Xenopus tropicalis: one gene and its partner. The protein of the gene in region 2 purifies or fractionates together with the protein of the main gene of each other region. This does not show direct contact. Links are inferred from orthologs where the notes say so. Each region holds a gene or a part of one and is shown on either strand. Other genes may lie near its edges.

What was found.
Region 1: the proteins of mlf1 (region 2) and dnajb6 purify together in Homo sapiens (affinity purification with mass spectrometry; 3 studies listed by BioGRID and IntAct, counting the BioPlex papers as one, with this or other methods). This does not show direct contact. The link is inferred for Xenopus tropicalis from reciprocal best matches to the Homo sapiens genes MLF1 and DNAJB6.

The regions. Positions count from the first base shown.
Region 1 is NC_030682.2:17,675,041-17,679,256, forward strand, and holds the start of dnajb6 (dnaJ homolog subfamily B member 6), read left to right. Parts: upstream 1-1,407; 5' UTR 1,408-1,420; coding exon 1,421-1,485; intron 1,486-1,905; coding exon 1,906-2,015; intron 2,016-3,197; coding exon 3,198-3,254; intron 3,255-3,616; coding exon 3,617-3,727; intron 3,728-3,852; coding exon 3,853-3,984; intron 3,985-4,216. UniProt on the Homo sapiens protein: Has a stimulatory effect on the ATPase activity of HSP70 in a dose-dependent and time-dependent manner and hence acts as a co-chaperone of HSP70. Plays an indispensable role in the organization of KRT8/KRT18 filaments.
Region 2 is NC_030681.2:115,310,659-115,314,171, forward strand, and holds the end of mlf1 (myeloid leukemia factor 1), read right to left. Parts: intron 3,228-3,513; coding exon 3,068-3,227; intron 2,069-3,067; coding exon 1,930-2,068; intron 890-1,929; coding exon 880-889; 3' UTR 195-879; downstream 1-194. UniProt on the Homo sapiens protein: Involved in lineage commitment of primary hemopoietic progenitors by restricting erythroid formation and enhancing myeloid formation.

The DNA.
Region 1 (4,216 bases), on a different chromosome or scaffold from region 2:
ATCTATATTGCAAAGTTGCTTGAAATTATATTGTGCTTGGGTGGAGTTCCCCTTTAAATTTTTCAGAAATGGGTTAGGACAAGAATAGATAGTTATATCTCATCAGCAGCTGGAGGGCTTGCTTTTACCATCACTGCTAAGAGAGCCATTGTTTCTACTTTTCTACAGCTGCTTTGCTTTACATACAGTTATGACATCTACTGTCCGAACACCTTATAAAAAAACAGGATTTTTAAATTTTTAATATATTCAATTTTTGTTTCCAAATTTCCATTCTGTAAATTGTCATGACAATTGACAGCGTAATCAAGTTTGCTTACTAGTTCTATGTCTTGGGCTGTCCAGAACAATTAATGGGCAATTAGCCTAAATCTCACCATAATTATGTCTCAGGCTGCCCCTCTGCCCACTGCTCCTCCATTGTGCTCCCTGCGATTTAGCACCTGGTGTAATATTCCAGTGCTTTGACTGAGAGGCTCTCCTAGGGAGCCAAATTAAAAGGGTAAACAAGATAACTAGTAACAGTTAACAGATTTTCAGGTTAACATTTGTAAGCTTTGGACACTTAAGGTGGCCATACACGGGCCGATTCTAGCTGCCAATATCTTTTTAAAATTTTTACCCCTGATGAAGACCCTTGATGGGTTGAAATGCGTTTGACTATACTTGCTATGATGTGTTTTTCGTATTGAATAAATTTCATTTTTTACTTATTGGTTTTGAGTGTGGAGATACTTTTTGCTTTCTTTAATATTGGCCCTTTAGACCAGTTCGGCAGCTTATCTGCCCATGTGTGGACACAAACGATGGGCCTGCCCCAACGATATCTGCCCTGAAATCGGGCAGATCTCGCTTGGGCAGGTTTGATTTTTCCGTTGGATCAGGGACAGCATCAGCTCGTTGATGCTGTCCCCAATCCGATGGCGCCTATACCTGCCGTTCTAATTTGATCGATTGGCCCCAGGGCCAAACGACCAAATTGGCCCAATATTGCCCACCCATAGGTGGGGATATCGGGAGAAGATATGCTTGCTTGGCGAGTTTTAGAAAGTATTAGCCAAAGTATTTTATCTGGTGGAGAAACGTCATGCCATTTAGATGAATGGAAACTACCTGTCACTGCTGGGGACAAACCGTTTCCATTCATCTACATAACAGGTGGCACAGAGATGTATCTGGCCATTTTTGACTGGCATATTTCAGCGATACATGTGCCACTGGCCTTAGGCTTGGGTTCAACAGAATAATAAAAAATGGAAATGTTGTGATACTCTTGCATTAATAGTACCTTTATCTTTGCAATGTGTTCCTGACTCTCTAATTGATTTACCTACCTCTTATCATATTCCGCTTGCATTTGAATTTGTCATCTCAATGCCATTATGAATTCTTTCCAGGCTTTACATCACATTACTGAGCCATGGTGGAGTATTACGATGTCCTGGGAGTCCAGAGGAACGCCTCTCCAGAAGATATTAAGAAAGCGTAAGTATTCCCTGGTTTGACGCTGAGGATATCCACTCTTATGGGGGGATTATTAAAACCATAGCACCTGGATACTTTATACTTTGTTTTTTTTGTATATAAAATTTTTTTTGGCAAGGATATTTTAGCCAGGAGTGCCCTCCATTTCTCTAAATTGACGCTGAGGATATGACTGGGCCATTGTGTGACAGCTCCATACACAGGCTGATGGGGGTTTCCACTCAGGAGGGATTGATGATGATGACGATGATGAGGAGGCACATAAAAGGCATGAGAGAACATGGCTGGGAAAGGATTAATTAGAGGAAAGATATGGAACACCCTGTGTGGCGGAACCTTATTTGCAGTTTGAAAGTTGCATTTAATGTTGCATTTCAATACCAATTACTAAACCCTATTCTCAATCAACTTGTATTCCAGATACCGCAAGCTAGCCTTAAAGTGGCACCCAGACAAGAACCCCGACAATAAAGATGAAGCCGAGAGGAGGTTCAAAGAAGTTGCTGAAGCTTATGAGGTCCTGTCAGATTGTAAGTATCTTCCCAAGACTCTTCCAACTTCCTTGGCTTGTAATTGTTTCCTTACTAGGCGCCCGATTTGCCCAAGGAGTTTGTTTTCATATATGGCATGATCGTTATTCAGCTGACACGAGTGATAGATCCTATCAATATTTATAATTAGGCTTGGCTTAAGCATACTAATCACTGACTGAGCTAATGAATTTAAAGGAGACATATTGTGTAAAAAACAAGAATGTGGTAGTGCATTATGCTCCTCTAAATACAGAAGGAATGTACTTTAAAAAGTTGTGTTTCAGGTGGATTTATTGAAAATTTCTCCAAAAACCCCACTAGTCCCGCCCATCTGTTCCACTCCCTGCTGCCTCCTTTCCCAGGCTGTGCAGGGGGGCCGGCGGCACTCGGCACACTGCATTGTAGGATAGGAACCAGAATTAAACCCTGCCTTTGCTTGTGTGACTGCAGGGCTGTGGTTGGCTGTGCTTCCTCCAGGGACGATTAGGACACACCCACCTTTTATTTGAAACACCGGCAGGGACCTGAGAGGATCTATAAGGAGCTCCAATAAAGGGGCCACAGATAGAATTAAGCACCATATATTATTCATAATTGCCTAAAAGATTGAGGGGGGATTTCACTTATCCTACATTTCTTCTTTAAAAAAAATGGTCATTATGCCCTTTCTGCTGAAAAGGGGTTTACGGTAAAAGTAGATTATTGAAGGATCCTTTGTTAATTTGTTTTCTATATTGTTGTGGGTATTACACTCATAATAAGGTGCTGGCCACTGGTATAAAACTTAGATAACAAACGTCATGTTAGTAGCTAAGCCGTCATACTGCTTGGAGAAAGTGTCAGAGCGGCTTTTGCAGCCTATTTAAAGGAGAAGTACACCACTTCCTGCTTTGTCTTAGTCCAGTAAGCAGGTTAGACTGATCTGTTGTTTTGTTTGGTTGAGGCTGGTGGGACGCGGCGAGGCACTTTTGAGCCTGGCCCTCGTGTGTTGGAATGCATTGCTTATTTATAGCCGTGTCTGTCCCCAGCTGCTGGGGAGACACACAAATACATCACAACAATGTTCTGCCTCAGAGAGAGACTGTGTGAAATTGTATCCTGAAATGATTTGCTAACTCCACTTAGACTAAACGGCTTGTATTTTATTTATTTATATTTGTTTGTTTCTTTCCCTTATAGCTAAAAAGAGGGATATTTATGATAAATATGGAAAAGAAGGATTGACAGGTGGTGGAGGTAAGTGCTAGTTTCATTTTAAACTTTTAACGCTATATTTATACCTCATTTATGCTTCCATGCAACTTAGATCCATTTCAGGGCCGTCTAGTTGGCTAGAGACCCTAATGTGCTCTATTTAATTGCCACTTGAGACCCAGCTACAGTGTGCAGCCTTTTCTTGCAGTCCAAGCCTAATTACACAGTGCGAAGAGTTCTATCAGATTGCCACAGAAATTCCTTGAGACCACAATATTCCATGCTTCTATATCCCTGTACTATGTGCAACCTTAATTGTATTTGATTACCTTTTATATTAAGAACAACTAATGCCGTTTTTCTATCTTTCAAGCTAATTAGGTTCTTTCTTATTTTTATTTTAGGCGGCAGTCACTTTGATAATCCATATGAGTTTGGATTTACATTCCGAAGCCCAGACGATGTTTTCAGGGATTTCTTTGGGGGAAGAGACCCATTTTCATTTGATTTATTTGGTATAGTGCACATATTTGTATTTTCTTTAATCTTAGATGTTTCTGCCGGGTTAAGGATTGTAATGTTACAGGTATTATTATATTACTGGTGTCAGGGAGTAATTTATATCCTGTTTCTCTTCCAGCTGACGATCCATTTGATGACTTCTTTGGCAGAAGAGGCCACAGAGCAAACAGAAGCAGGCCAGGGGGTTCCTTTCTCTCTACGTTTGGAGGTTTCCCTGCCTTTGGTCCTACCTTCTCTCCATTTGACTCGGGTACAGAGATGCAATACTCCTTTATCTGCACACTCAAGTTTTTGTCCAATGAAGGGATAAATGAATGCACAGACATCTGCAAATGTTTTATGTGTGTCTTGATTTAACATTCCTGCTACTGATGCCATTTTTTTAAGGTTCCAAGAACGAAAAATTACCCATTACCGTTATTTATCTTTAAAATTTGCATCATGGCTACCATAGCCCTAAAAGGCAGAGCTTTTCAGACCAC
Region 2 (3,513 bases):
ATCAGATCCAACGCCATCCGACAAAAGTGCTTGTGCAGCCCTTCAGCTTCTGCATGCCATTATAATTATCTTTTTCCCAGCTGTAGGTAATGGTTTTGATTATCTCAGTGAAAGCTGCAGAGAATGGTTTGCAGGACACAGCCTAGAGTTAATTGTCTTGTAACAGAAATCTTAATCATAAACGGAAGAAAAACTAAACGTACAAAGTATTTATTTTCATTGGAAACATTAAATCACAATTAAGTTTTGATTGTTGCACAATACAGAATCTACATCATTGTATAAAATTAGTTCCAGCATATTTACTATGTAGAACACAATGACTATTCATGATTTAAAAAAATTACAATTTGTAATATTACTTTAATTGAATTATTTTCACTAGACCACTAAAGCAAACACAGCTATTATACAAGCCTCTGCAACTAATATAGTTAATGGGGGCATTAACTGAGATAAATATTTAACCAGTTTAATTAGAAATCTTTTTACAAATAATTGTACACATTACCTTACAAACATGCTGTGCTAGCTTATCTTTCCATGAACTGTGCAATATATATATTTCTCTCTCTCTATATATATATATATATAAATACACACTTCCACACATTTTCTTTGCATCATAGCCACCTATTAATGTCAATGCCCAAGGCGTTACTGCTACAAAATCTATGCAATTTCTTATTATGTAGATATAGATGTCTACAGAGTGGTGAGACACCTCCAACATAAGAGTCCAGAACAGATAGCTCATCCAAAAAATGCAGAGGAAACTCATGTGCATGTCTCAATCATTTATTTAGTGATCTCCTTGCACAAGATGGTTTCACACCATTGGCTGGAACACTTCAGCTTTTAGGTGACTGGTGCCGAGTCTCACTTCTCCCTGTAATAAATATATTGATTATTACGTGTGGAATTAGTAATTATTGTATTTTCCTTTCTATATTACCAACTCCTTCCCATAGTTAATAGTTCAGAATTGTTAGCACCCTTTCCTGGCCAAACCCAGGCAGAATCATACAAATGTGTGTATATTTACCTCTGGTGGTTACTGGCAAAGGAACCGAAGAATATACATCTTTAAAAGAATATTCTACCTTTTCCCAATCTGTCTTCTTGAATCTAGCAGAAGTGTGTGCATTTTATGTTAGATTTTCCTTTTACTCACTAGGTTTTTTTTGGAGGAGTGTCTGCTAAACATAATATTTGTATGCCTAAGGCAGGTTTCTAAAAACCATTCACTTCCCCATAAAGAAACCATAACTAACCACATTACTGTTCTTAATACATTTAAGTTTCTATGCTATTGCCTCCCATAGAAGCTTTTGTCTGTGTGAGTCTCCATAGGTGTTGCTATAGTGTTTATTTCTGTCAGTGGGTTTTTTCTATATATTGCCTCAACATTTTACAGCTCTAAACATAAATTAGTTTAAGAGCTGTGAAATAGCCTTAAAGATATACTGACACCTGAAACTTTTTTTTTAAAATATCATAACATGTCTTTGCATGCTGTTTATAATGTTGCCATAAAAGTATTTGCCCAATGCTTTTACATTACCTATCTGATCCCCTAAGCTCCTTTATGAGGGCTGCCATATTTGTACAACAGTAGTCCATTAGCATAAGAAACTAGAACTGACAGGTTGAGAAGGGACAGTCAGGGTTAGGAATTTCAAGTATTACTTACAAAAGCAGACATATCAATGAAAAATGATTTAGATGACCTAAAGGTAACTTTATATGAAGATTCATATTTTGAAAAGTAGTTTTTTTCATGTTGTGCAGAGCAGATGGGTACCTGAACTTCCTTACTTCTACATTATAGGGATGTACTTGTTTCAATAATAAATACATACACACTTTTTCAAATTTTTCATCTCAATATTTAAATAAAAATACTATGGTAAAATATTACAGTCTCACCTTGCTGGCAACTGCGGCTGGCTTTTGCTTGGTATATGTTTAACAGTTCTGTGTTTTGGAGCTTCTACTGCATTTCCTGGAAATGACTTAATCTTTAAAACCTCTCTTTGCCATTCATTATCAAAAGATGGCCCTTCAGCTGTGGGACAAAAGTACACAATCAGAACAGAAGTTCAAGCCATCATGTTTACAGAGATATGTGTTTCCTCTATCCAATGAGGAATAAATGTCTACATTACTGAAAGTGAAAATGTATCTTATTGAGTAACAATAGCAATATACATTTTTCTAAATACATAGTGTCTCTGTATTTTATCTAGATATACTGTAAGTAGTGTGTGCTACTAATATGGAAATATTTATTTGAGCGAGAAACTATTACATTGCTTAATCCACCACTTATTTTTAGACACTTTAATTTGACTTTTTCAAATAAAAGATTTGCAGCAGAACTGTCTAAAGAGATTTATTTGGAAATAGGATATTAGGTCTCATTTACCACTGCCCCAGACACAACCCACCAGCATTTCTGGGTGCTGCTGCTTGGGGCAGAGAGTTTATTCTCTGCATTATATGATCACAAAGTCCAGGTATTATACTTTTTACCAAGTCAGTTTGCAAGTCAAAATTATGTAGCACAAAAATAAAACATGCATCAAAAAGAATTCTACACACAGACAACTAGAATAACCAATCTGTGATTAATAGACTAGTGGTGGAAACCACAGATTGTGGTTGCAGTTCCATTTCTTACCATGGGCCCTATATTTTGTTAAATTTGTTTTTTGTAGGGGTAGCTTTTTGCCACTGCTGGTAATGTGCCCCTGACTCACAACCCAGTTTTGTGCCTGTTTTTGTTTTACATTCTATTGCACACCAACTTATATTTGGTGAATTATGTCCAAACTAGCAGTTTTATTAATGATCCACTAAAAAGTAAATTTGGTGATTAACATATTACCAAACAAATTACACAGATAATAAAATCAATGAAACCACCTTCTGTTAGTAAGCACAAATAGTATCTTTTGAAAGAAAGGTTAAAACCACAGCAGTACATTTAGGGGTTGGCTCTATTCAGCCCATTAAATAAAACATTTTTCATATAAAACATAATTTCTGCTTTATTAATGTTCACCTTCATCCAAATTGAGGAATTCTTGGTTGAGTTCTTGATCCCCTGTTTTGTGATTCCTACTTTTCTGGATAATGTGGGCTCTGTCATGGATGTGATGACCAATAGCCATTTTCTCAATTCCACTTTCAGAATCTCTTACAGCTTTCTTTGTCTCTTTTATCTGAACATAAAAAAAGAAAAAACATTTTCCAAGCAGTTTAAAAAAAATGTTTTTTTCATATGAATGCTAGTGCATGGTATGAAGGCCATATGGTATACCAGTATATTAATTCAATAATGCAGCATGAACTTGTACAGATAAAAAATAGTGTTGTGCTAACGTGGTGGCATGAACTGATATGCAGTACTATAACTTTAACATTGTTAATCAAGGGCTTCAATCAAATAGTACAAATGGTTTATTTATTATAGAAAACATCAGAGTGTTACTCAATGATATTTTTAAA